Canis lupus familiaris: one gene and its partners. The protein of the gene in region 2 purifies or fractionates together with the protein of the main gene of each other region. This does not show direct contact. Links are inferred from orthologs where the notes say so. Each region holds a gene or a part of one and is shown on either strand. Other genes may lie near its edges.

Region 1 (4,199 bases), on a different chromosome or scaffold from region 2:
GCACACCGTCCAGTAACAGTGCAGGTGTCGGGATCTAACCACTGACACCAGCGTCTCTGACTCAGGTCCCGGCCATCAGTTCATTTGTTCAGTCCTTGCAAGAACCTTCTGCAATGGATGCTATCTGCACAGAGAAACGGACCCGCTTCCAGTGCTGCCCCCTGGTCGTGGACTCTCATCCCTCCTGCTCTAGGCCCCATGCTGGCCCGAAGAGCTGACCTCCTCTCCCTCACCACGCTTGCTCTATGTACACGGGCCATCATCACACTGTGGTCCTGCAGCCGCCACACGTGCCTGGAAACACGGTCCGGGTGCTGCTTGGTCCTCTGGCTCCTCTGGGGCAAAGCAAGGCATCCCTCCAGGCTGGCATTCTTGCCTGGCACCCACTGGGCGCTCCGTAAGTGCTCACAGACTAAGTGAGTCCATGAGTCTAGGAGCAGGGTTTGTGTCTGCCCCAAGGAATTGAACTTAGGATCTCGGAGAGATGTCCACACTCCCATGTCCGCTGTGGTATTATTCAAAAAGGTCAGATACGGAGACAAGCTAAGTGTCCACAAGTGGAAGAAAGGGTGAAGACGGTAGGTACACATGTCTACACCACATGCCATGGGGATTATTCGGCCACGGGGAAAAAGGACATGCTGCCATTTGCAACAACGTGGGTGGAGCTGGAGGACGTGAAGTGTGTAATATCACTGTACGTAGACTCCAAGTTCGTCGGAGTCACAGAGACAGAGAGTGCAGGGTCAGGGGCCCGGGGCTGGGAGGGGGCAGTGGGAGGTATCGGTTGGGGGCACGCAGGCTGTGACGCCAGAGGACTAAGTCCTGGAGATGGGCATATGGCGCTGTGCCCACAGCTGGTCATTCTCTGCTGTGCTTGGAATACTTGCCAAAGGGCAGGTCTTGTATTAAGGGTTCTCACCATACACACAGAACAGCATTAAAACAGCAACAATAATAAAGGGGCGGGAGGAGACTTTGGGAGGTGATGAGCATGGCCTCGGCAGAGGTGAGGTTCTCACAGGCGTATCCTCAATTCAGAAAAGCAGTTGAGGACGTTGACAGGTGGTGCACAGAGCCTTTGCCGGCCAGCAGACTGTGCCTGATGGCTGGAGGGCCAGGCATGCTCCTGATGCTCTACTTGCCAGGCCCGGGGGGTCCCCTGCCCCACTGTGCTCACTACCTTCACAGCCCTCTCATGGCCGCTGGGACGCCCACGGGGACACCCCGCCTCAGGGGCCCCCGAGAGCACGGCAGACGTCTCTGGCTATGGCCGAGATAAGCACGCTGCTCACTGGTGTGGAAAATCCACAATATGAGTAACTGTTAGTCTCCAACCTGGTGATGCAAGCTTGTTCACTCCATGCTGAGGCCACATCCTTCCTGCCCTGCTGGGCTGTGACCACTATAAATTCATCAAGTTTCCTCTTGGGCTGTTTCTGAGGCTGGTGTCCGGGTGAGTCCAACTCTGTGGAGCTGCATGGCTGCAAGAGTGTGGGGAGAATGAGGAGGGGCCATGGAGAGCCGGGGGTGTCCTGTTTAGCACACTAGGGATTCTCCGGCCAGCTTCCAAGCCTGCCCTTCCACAATTCTGGAAAACCCTTTTTTGTTTTTCATTACTGGGTCCTAGGCTTGTGTGCAAGTGTGTGCGTAGGGACTGGGGAGTGGGGGGGGGGGCAGGTAGGGACAGCCACCACAGCTCACACCCACCCTTGGGGCGGATTTGCCCAGCATCCCCCCAGGGAGTGGATGGAGGGGATGTGGTGGGGATGTGGACGTCCTAGACACCGCAGGACACAGAAGGCAAAGGTCAGGGTAGAACGCATGGGGCTTAGAGGCTGGGGGGCACAGAGGAGCCGTAGAGTCCTGATGTGGATGGCAAGGCCGACCGGGGTCCTGGGATGGTCCACAAAACAGGTGGGTCTACCTGGACATGCCCAGCCCACCGCCAAACGCATGAGGAACGGATTTGGTGGGTGCGTGGAGCCAGGAGTGCAGGGCAAGATGAAGGCACAGGGGAGGCAAGCATGCTTCAGGCATTGTGCACACACACTCTCTCCTGCAGTCCCACCCTTCCTCTCCCTCCTGTTAGCGACCCTCATTCATGGCCTTGGGTTGATGTTGTGCTTTCCCAAACTCAGTCATGTGGCGGGATGGATCCCAAACAAAGCCAACATGCTTATCAGCCCAAATCTTGGAGACGCAGAAGAGCAAGGACACAGCAGCTGAACTTTGCTCTATGTGGAACTCTGCATCCCTGTAGAAAAGCTGAGACCCTGAGCTCTAAAAAATGGTGGGCTGTGCGTGGAAAATGCTGGGAAAGTGGTTTGTTTTTGTTTTTTGCCTTTTAACCACCTATTTTATTGTCTTTGTTCTTTTCTATGTTTTTCTGAGATACCTCGTTAAGTGATGGAAGAAAGAATCACATGCTTTTTCTTGCTATGAAAATTAGTATTTAGGGACATGAACTCAGAAATCAGTGCCCCTGACCTAAATCCTGGCTTTGAACCCTTTTTTTTTTCTGCGAAACCCTGGGCAAGTCACTTAGTTTCTGCTAAGATTCAGTTCCTCTTCTGTAAAATGGGCCTAAGCATATGTGCACCTCCTAGGGCTTCGGGAGAGTTAGATGCACAGCACATGAGTGCGGCACCTAGGCTGCGAGAGGCTCTCAGTCCCCGTGGGCTCTAATGATGATCACAATTGTGAATGTTGAAGGACACCTCAGGGAGATGTATGTGGTCATCACCTCCCCCTACGCACCTCGAGCGTCACCCACTCATCGCTATCGATCAATAGATGGATGGATGTGCAATTGGAGACCTCCCCTGTCCAGGCGCGTCTGTCTTCTTCCTCCGTCCAGCCATGTGCTGCTCTGTTACTACCGTACTTACTCATTTCCGGGGTCAAAACAGAAATAGGGAACCAGAGCCTTTCCAATGGAAGGAACTTAAAAGCCATATTTTCCATTCTGTCATTTTATAGATGAAGAAACAGAAGCTGAGGAAGACTTTGCCCCAGGCCATTCCTCAGTAACTAGTGAGAACAAAGTTCTCCCTGTGGTGCACTGTGGTGGCTTAAGGCTGCAGGTTGGGCTCACAGTATTATCGACATGGTTCCCTGTGCGGGTTTAACCTCTGTTTCTCTCCAGAGGGACACTGTTCTTCCATGGCTCAGGACAGACTCCTGAGTTGAGCCAACAGGAAAACGTTCTGGTGAGTATTTGGGTCATTTTTCAAAACCTCATTATGGTTCAATTCTCTATTTTTTCTCCTTATGTTCTGGGTTTTTCGTGGGTTCATTCTCTTTCAAGAGGGCAGACTTTTAGGAAGATTCTGCTTACCCATGTGCTGTTTTCATCATCCAGCTTCCTGGAGTGGACCTATGCCCAAGGGCCCTGAGCCAAGCTGCAGAGGAGCATGGCAAGCGTCCGCTGCAAGCTGGCTCGTTACCTGGAGGACCTGGAAGATGCAGACTTTAAGAAATTCAAGATGCACTTACAAGACTACCCTTCTCAGAAAGGGTTCAGCCCTCTCCCTCGGAGTCAGACAGAGAAAGCTGACCACATGGATCTGGCTACTCTGATGATCGACTTCAATGGTGAGGAGAAGGCATGGGCCATGGCAGTGTGGATTTTTGCTGCAATCAACAGAAGAGACCTTTATGAGAAAGCTAAGAGGGATGAGCTGGAGTGGGGTGAGTGGAAGATAGACAGCATTTTAAAAAATCGTGATAAGATACACGTGACATACAATTACCGTCTTAGCCATTTCAAAGCTATGGTTCAGCAGCATTAAACACATTCACATTGCGCAATCAATCTCCACAACTTTTCTTTGTCTTGCAAAACTCTGTACCCATTAGACAACAATTCCTGTCCCCCTCCCCTAAGCACCTGGAACTACCACCTTCTATCCTTAAGAATTTGGCTACTCTTAGTACGGCTTATGAACAGCTTCATAAAGTATTTGTCTGTTTGTGGCTAGCTTACTTTATGAAGCATAATGTCCTCAAGCCTCATCCATGTGGTCACATACAACATTATTTCATTCTTTTTCAAGGTGGGATAATATTCCAGGGTATGTGTATGCCAAATTTTGTTCATCTATTCACCCATTAGTGGACATTTGGATTGCTGTTAGCTTTTGATTATTTTGAACAATGCTGCTAAGAACACGAGGGTACAAACCTCTTTGAGACCC
Region 2 (4,371 bases):
CATTCTTTGCTGAGAATAAGAGTTCTGTACACCCACATACGTCTTATTTACTTCCCCATCTCAATCTTGGAAACACTGTCTTCCTCTTGCCAGGACAAAAAAAAAATGAGGTAAAAATCTCCTGATACTTCAACACAGACAGGAGAGGCCCAAGAATCAAAAAAAAATAAAAATAAAAATAAAAAAAAAAGGGTGCGTCCATGTGTGCCTTTATCTCTGCAAGTTTGTTTGTTTTTGCATTTATGAGTAATTTCTCAGGAGTCAGGTCCTTAAGGCATCTCATGCCAGGTTGGGGGGAGGGGGGAATCTGACAAATGACAATAAAGAGTGATCAGTCAGGGTCTCTTTTAGCTTGAATACAGTGATCCTTTTGTCTTCTTTCCTCACTGGGATTTCTAAAATAAAGGGCTTAGAAAAACACTTTTAAAAGATACGGAAACTCTTCCTTCAAACAGGAATGCAGCCATCTCTTTACTGACACTTTGATCATATAAACAAGAGAACTTTTAACTCGGCTGTGAGGAGTGTGGGCTACGGATTTAGAGATGCGCCTCTGATTTGGTGAGTTGCAGAGGGGATGAAGACAAGGAAGAGTGCAAGCAGCTGAGGAGGAAAGTGAAACGAGGGAAGCATCTTGTTTCAAGTACATACCTTACTAAAAGAGTAATATATTGGTAACTGGGGGAATAGAAACAAAGTGTTCCCCCAACTTTGCAGGTAGAAACTGAAGAGATGAGGGGGAAAGGAACAGGATGTGAACACGCCCTGATTCCGTTCCAGGGAGAACAGAGCGAACGGAGAGAGAGGGTACAGGGGCTTCCAGGTTCGGGGGCGCCGGAAAGGGAGCGCGAAAGCCGAGCAGCGCCCCGGACCGCTGCCCACCCACGACGGAGAAGAGCTTTACAATTTGTGACAAGTTCCCCTTTCTGTCACGGTATTTAGGGGTTTGGATAGAGACCCGGGGGCAAGAGAAAGACAAAGGGGCTCTTCCTCAACAGTCACACCAAAGCTCCCTGGCCTCTGCCCCAATTCTGAAGTATTCTTGGAGTTAAGGGATTATTTTTCACCGGACTTGCGACTTGTGAGCCGGAAATAAACGGTCGCCTCTAAATTTATTGCACTGGCTGAGGTTAGGCACGAAATTCCCACATAAGCACATTTTCTTTTCGCTTCAAACGCTGCTCCCACCCCAGAAGCATCTGCACCCGCCCCCCGACGGCCACCCCCCGTGATAAATGCTAGGGTCCGCGAGGGCCCGCTCCCTCCGGGCTTCCCCTGGGCGTCCTCGGGCGGAGGGAGGCGGCCCCGCAGCCCCTCCGCTCCCTCCTCCCGGCGAGGCTGCCGTGCACAACAACCATTTTCCCCGCCAGGAGCACACCGTGTCCACGCGCCGCTGCGGCCTCGCTGATTGGTTGGGCTCCTGGTAAACAAGGGGCGGGCAGCCAATGGGAGGGCTGTGCACGAGGGCAGCACGAGCCTCAGGGCTAGCGCTCGCGTGGCCGGGCGAGCCCGGGCGACTATATAAAGCAGTTTCCGGCTGCTCCCCGCAACTCTCCTTCCGTCTCCTCTGGCGGGGTGGGCCGTTCGGGCTCTCCTAGAGTCGGGGCGCTCCTCCAGCTGTCGGAGAAAAGAACAGAAAGCTGATTTTTTTTTTTTTTCCCCCGGGGATCCTTCGGCATCACCCACAGCTTACATTTTTTTCCAAAATCTTTTTGAAATCTTAGCGGAGAGTTGAAGAGTGAAATAATTTTTTTGCAGAGCATTTTTGGATTTGGAGTTTTGTTTTTTCTCTCCCCCCCGTTTATAACTGTCAAGGCAGCCCAGCCAATCATGGTGATGTTCAAGAAAATCAAGTCTTTTGAGGTGGTCTTTAACGACCCTGAAAAGGTGTATGGCAGCGGGGAGAAAGTGGCCGGCCGGGTGGTCGTGGAGGTGTGCGAAGTGACTCGAGTTAAAGCTGTCAGGATCCTGGCTTGCGGAGTGGCCAAAGTCCTGTGGATGCAGGGATCCCAACAGTGCAAACAGACCTCTGAATACCTGCGCTTCGAAGACACGCTTCTCCTGGAAGACCAGCCAACAGGTGAGTGGCCCCGTTGTTTGTCGGGAGGGTGAAAGCTGATTTGAGAATAGAGTTGAAACGAATGCTTGCAGCTTATGCTGAATATTTCAAGCTGCTAAGGTTGAGTAGCTTGACTTGTATGTTGTTTCCTTTTTTAGTTTTAACTTGCAGACTCCTAAAAAAAGGGGGGGGGTGATTTGTACAGTTTCTTACAGTGTTCTGTTCTGAAGGTGATCCTGAGGTATGCTGCCTTAACTATTTAAAGGTTTTCTGTGTGCATAAGTTGCATATTCTTCGCTCGTTTCCGGTTTGAGAGGGTAGTAGCTTCACTGCCCTGGTTGAGCCTTTCATCATTGCAAGGCTTTGAAACTTTTTGCCCAACGAAATGCATCAGGATCTCTCAAGAACAGAAGGGGGTGAAAATAGGGGACCTGCAATAGACTTGCATGCTGCCCAGGAATTCCTTATCACACAGATGCATTTGAAGTGAAACAAGAAACCTGATGGGCTATTCTTTCTTCTTTCTTCTCAGGTGAGAATGAGATGGTGATCATGAGACCTGGAAACAAATACGAGTACAAGTTCGGCTTTGAGCTTCCTCAGGGGTAGGTGTCTACTAAATGCATCTTTGGACTTTCTTATCTCTAAAATTCGCCACCTTTGATCACCTGTTCTTGGAGAACAGTTTTAGATTGCTTCTTTTTTCTTGACACAGGCCTTTGGGAACATCTTTCAAAGGAAAATATGGGTGTGTAGACTACTGGGTGAAGGCTTTTCTTGATCGCCCCAGCCAGCCAACTCAAGAGACAAAGAAATTCTTTGAAGTGATGGATTTAGTGGATGTCAACACTCCTGATTTAATGGTGAGGTTCATTTAAAAATTATGTTTTCTTGGGTTTCGGGGATGGTAAGTCGTAAGTCAAGTGTCTTAGGCATTAGACTGATGTACCTCAGGGGATCCAGTCCTAAATGGATTACCAAGGTGGGAGGGAAAGTTGCCTATTCTAGGTAAGGAGTAGAAAGAAAAAAGAGAAGGATCTCTAGAAAGTCTCAAAATGTCTTTTTACCCCTATTTAACACAGGCTCCTGTGTCTGCTAAAAAGGAGAAGAAAGTTTCCTGCATGTTTATTCCTGATGGACAAGTGTCTGTCTCTGCCCGAATTGACAGAAAAGGATTTTGTGAAGGTAAAAACTTAATTAAAAAGGTAGTCTGATAAAACAGGAACTGTGGGTTTGGGAGTGAGGGCAGGCTATAGGGGTAGAAGTCCTTAATTGTATTAAGCGTCAGCTAATAAGTTTTTGTCTTTATCATTGTTAGGTGATGAAATTTCCATCCATGCTGACTTTGAAAATACATGTTCGCGCATCATGGTTCCCAAAGCTGCCATAGTAGCACGCCACACTTACCTTGCCAATGGTCAAACCAAAGTGCTGACACAGAAGTTGTCATCTGTCAGAGGCAATCACATCATTTCAGGAACCTGTGCATCGTGGCGTGGCAAGAGCCTTCGGGTGCAAAAGATCAGGCCTTCTATCCTGGGCTGCAACATCCTTCGAGTTGAATACTCCTTATTGGTGAGTGAATGGAGTCCAAGAAATTGTTCATCTGTCAAAATAGTCATTTCTCCAAACCTCTAGTCTAACTAACTGTCATTTTTCCTTTCTAGATCTATGTTAGTGTTCCTGGCTCCAAGAAGGTCATCCTTGATCTGCCCCTGGTAATCGGTAGCAGATCAGGTCTGAGCAGTCGGACATCGAGCATGGCCAGTCGAACCAGCTCTGAAATGAGTTGGATAGATCTCAATATTCCCGATACCCCAGAAGGTGAGCCAGACCTAATGTTTTTTCTTCCTTTTTGACCTGCTTGGGTTTGTGAAATTGTGACGGTCAGGCATTTCTTGGCCAAACTTCTTATGCCTATGTTTTCTCTAGCTCCTCCTTGCTATATGGATATCATTCCTGAAGATCACCGATTGGAGAGCCCCACTACTCCTCTACTAGATGACACAGATGGTTCCCAAGACAGCCCTATTTTTATGTATGCTCCTGAGTTCAAGTTCATGCCACCACCGACTTACACAGAGGTGATCATTGCCATTTTACAAATTGTCCTCTAAGCCTCTTACAGGAAGTTGAATGGGAAGGACTGCTAAACTGGGTGGTTGTTTTAGTTCTTACCCAAACTAAAATAATCGTTTCTTTTGTTTCTCTTCCCCCCACTCCAGGTGGATCCCTCCATCCTCAACAACAATGTGCAGTGAACTTGTGGAAGAAAAGAAGCAGCTGTACTTAACATGTTTCTTTCTGCCTCT
Region 3 (3,143 bases), on a different chromosome or scaffold from region 2:
TCCGTTGCTCCCTGTATCCGAAGAGAAGCTCTTCATATACAAAGGACGGCCCCTTCGTAGGGCAGGGCCCCGGCTCCACCCACAGGAGCCTCAGGCCTCACCCACTGACTCACCCGAGCCACTGCCCTCAGGCCCACCCTAGGGCGCCAGCAAGGCAAGGGAAGACCTACCAATGAGCTCAGCAAAGCCGCCAACGGGCAGGCGGCAAGTCCCAGTGACGAACTGCAGCAGCCGGATCCTCTTCTCGTTGTCCATCTCCTTTACCACCTAGAACTCCGCCAGTCAGAGCAGAGCCAGGCTACCCACTTGACCCCAAACCTCGCCCTAACCTGTGACTCCCATCAGCCAGGACCCCTCTTTGGGGCTGAGAACACAAAGCCCGGGTTGGGGTCGGGGGCTACAGCCACCAGCCTTGGAAACCCCAAAGCTGCTCCATCTGAGAGGCTGAGTTTGTAGGACATTCCCACCAACCCATGGGACATCTCTGGGGCTCCGGGGCACCCCGAGCCAGGTATTCTTTTCCCAGCCAAGTTCTGCTTTTAAACATATAGTAAGGATGGAAGTGATTGCTTAATGGGTATGGAGTTTCTTTTGGCGGGGAGATGTAATGTTCTGGAATTAGATGGTGGTAATGAAAGACCAATGTGAAAGACCAATGAACCGTAATACCTTAAAATGCTTCACATTGTGAATCTTATGGGATGGGAATTTTGCCTTCAAAAAGAGATTTTTATATACCTTCTCTTTCTCACGTATGCTATACTTCATAAGGGAAACGACAAGATCTCACATTTGGAAGAATCAATTCATTATATCCAGGACTCCGAGCTCATTCAGTTTCTCTGGAGACCAGCACGTGCTGTCCTGTCCCTCCACCCCCAGGCTGGCAGGAAACCACACGGCCTGGTGCTTTCCTTCCCGCACACATCGGCTGACCACTAACACGTCCCGTCAGGTGCACTGGCCACAACCCAGCTGCAACAGCTCTGTTCACCCCAAGGCTGGGTTCCTCTTCTCCTCCCACCAATGGAGGAAAGTGCCAAAGATGAGGGAGGTGACCCCCCAACATGTGTCCAGGAGCCTGGGATCTAATCAGGCCTCTTTCCTGTGGCTGACCACTAAAATATCCCTTCCAAGACCCTTAGCCCAACTCGGCCGGGACGGGTCCCAGGACCTACCTGCCAGAACCACTGGATCTGCTTGCTGTTCTTGGTGTAGTGCCGATAAATAGTGTTCTTTTGCCAGTCGCTCATGTCTATCTCCTGCATGCCGCACAGCATCAGCTGCAGGGGGACAGGTGTCAGCAGCCCCAGGCCCACCCCCTCCCCACAGGTGCACAGCGCCTCACCCACTCACCAGCAGGTGGAATCGCCCCAAACATTTTCATCTATTTCTGCTGGCAGTGGGAGTAATATGGGTGATAGGAGTCTTGAGCATGGACCCCCTCAAAACCAGGACCAGGGGAGGAACAGATTTGAGAGATCAAATCACAACTATCCGCCCTGCCGCCTCCATCCAGAGGGAAGGTGAAGTTTTACTGGCGGGTTTCTGCAGAACCACGGTTTGCCAGCAACGGGCACGACTGCCCCAGAGGCAGAGGCTCAGGGTCCCGGGGACCTCAGCTCTCACCTCCAGCTCTTTCTCATCAAAGTAGCGCAACCACTCCAGGGGGGCCACCTCGTTGAAGCCGTCCAGGAAGGCTTTGGTCTGCTCTTCCACGCCCCGGGTGAAACGCCAGTCGGTCAGCAGCCTAAAACCGAAGGTGCGCTGTCAGGGGAGCCAAGGCCCACTGCTCAGGCACAGCTCGGGCCGGCCACCGGGCCACGGTCACACAGCCGTGAGATATCAGCCCAGAGGCCGCGTGGCACACACCCAGACCCACTCCGCATCGGCCTTGGGAGCAGCCAGGGCAGTGGGAGACAGCTGAACCTCTGACATCCCACCGCTTCCTCCCCATCCCACCACTGCTGACTGAACTTCACAAACGTGGAGGTCAGGAGACTAGACCGAGAGACCTGGAGAAGGCACGTGGGTGAGTTTGCACACAGACACACATGCAAGGATGGGCTCAGACACACGGACACAGAAATCCTCTCTGCCAGAGAAAGGAAAGGGAGATATCGAAGCTTCCTGCCTCTTCAAAGCCCTGCAGTCTTGAAGCCTTGCACGTGGGGGAAAGAGAGCAAACGGCAGCTCTTCCGGGTGGCCAGGGGCTCCGGTCAGCGTGGGACAGGCCGTGGGCAGCCCTCATGTGCCGATGCCACAGGGGCGGCGGCCGTGCCCCTGGTGAAATAGGGGGGGCCTGGCTGGAGCACGCCCCAGGACCGAGGGTGGCTCTGCTCCCGCCCCCTGGCCCCCGGGATACTCACATGATGTACTCTTCCTTGTTCTCCTCTGTCACTCGGATGCTTTCCCCGCCTTCCTTTAGCTCGTGGGTTGTCACCTTGCCCAGGATCTCCATGTCCTGGATGAAGTAGAGCTCCAGACCACACTCTTCCAGGTTGTTCTCTCTGGGGGCACAAGAGACCGAAAGGGAAAACGTCTACCTTAGAAGGGTCTCCCCTCATCCCACTCTGTCAGGTGCATCAGCGCTCAGAGGATGCCAGGACCCGCAGCCTGAATCCAGACAGTGGCCTGGGACCTCCCCCTGACCACGGGGAGAATTCTGGAGCTGTCCCACAGGGAAACCGAGGAGCTGCGTATCTCCACCAGCACTTACACAGCTGGTATGCGCTCAGGGCCACTCCAGCAGAGAAAACACAGGCCAGCGATGCCTCCTCCCCAACCAGAGACCCCTGTCCTCCCAGCACGGCGCGGGGGAGAGGACTCACTTGATCCAGACAATAGAGTTGTAGAATTCGGGGTCGATCGATTCCAGGTCTTTCAGGGTTGGTCTCTTGTTGAGCATTCGCTTATAGAACGGGAGGGTGAAGCCTGTGTCGATGAACTTTCCATGGTACAGAGCCTGCGGAGGAAGAGGCACGCCAAAGGTGTTTGGTCTTCTTAGGACACTGCCCAGGCAGGCTCTTGGATGCTCCACGCCAAAGCCCAACTACCTACCCCTTCTCCCCAAGAGCAACCGTGACCTTGGGACAGACTCTCATCACACCTGCAGACAACAGGGGCAAGCAGAGCCAGCCCAC

The links.
Region 1: the proteins of TXNIP (region 2) and NLRP3 purify together in Homo sapiens (affinity purification with western blotting, with the first as the bait; 4 studies listed by BioGRID). This does not show direct contact. The link is inferred for Canis lupus familiaris from reciprocal best matches to the Homo sapiens genes TXNIP and NLRP3.
Region 3: the proteins of TXNIP (region 2) and WWP2 purify together in Homo sapiens (affinity purification with mass spectrometry; 3 studies listed by BioGRID and IntAct, with this or other methods). This does not show direct contact. The link is inferred for Canis lupus familiaris from reciprocal best matches to the Homo sapiens genes TXNIP and WWP2.

What each region holds. Positions count from the first base shown.
Region 1 is NC_049229.1:335,655-339,853, forward strand, and holds the start of NLRP3 (NACHT, LRR and PYD domains-containing protein 3), read left to right. Parts: upstream 1-1,371; 5' UTR 1,372-1,456; intron 1,457-2,982; 5' UTR 2,983-3,212; intron 3,213-3,364; 5' UTR 3,365-3,416; coding exon 3,417-3,693; intron 3,694-4,199. UniProt on the Homo sapiens protein: Sensor component of the NLRP3 inflammasome, which mediates inflammasome activation in response to defects in membrane integrity, leading to secretion of inflammatory cytokines IL1B and IL18 and pyroptosis.
Region 2 is NC_049238.1:59,433,977-59,438,347, reverse strand, and holds the start of TXNIP (thioredoxin-interacting protein), read left to right. Parts: upstream 1-1,541; 5' UTR 1,542-1,830; coding exon 1,831-2,080; intron 2,081-2,591; coding exon 2,592-2,664; intron 2,665-2,774; coding exon 2,775-2,922; intron 2,923-3,141; coding exon 3,142-3,244; intron 3,245-3,377; coding exon 3,378-3,634; intron 3,635-3,726; coding exon 3,727-3,883; intron 3,884-3,991; coding exon 3,992-4,143; intron 4,144-4,284; coding exon 4,285-4,320; 3' UTR 4,321-4,371. UniProt on the Homo sapiens protein: May act as an oxidative stress mediator by inhibiting thioredoxin activity or by limiting its bioavailability.
Region 3 is NC_049226.1:80,389,085-80,392,227, forward strand, and holds part of WWP2 (NEDD4-like E3 ubiquitin-protein ligase WWP2), read right to left. Parts: intron 2,966-3,143; coding exon 2,832-2,965; intron 2,511-2,831; coding exon 2,370-2,510; intron 1,751-2,369; coding exon 1,630-1,750; intron 1,284-1,629; coding exon 1,179-1,283; intron 268-1,178; coding exon 171-267; intron 12-170; coding exon 1-11. UniProt on the Homo sapiens protein: E3 ubiquitin-protein ligase which accepts ubiquitin from an E2 ubiquitin-conjugating enzyme in the form of a thioester and then directly transfers the ubiquitin to targeted substrates.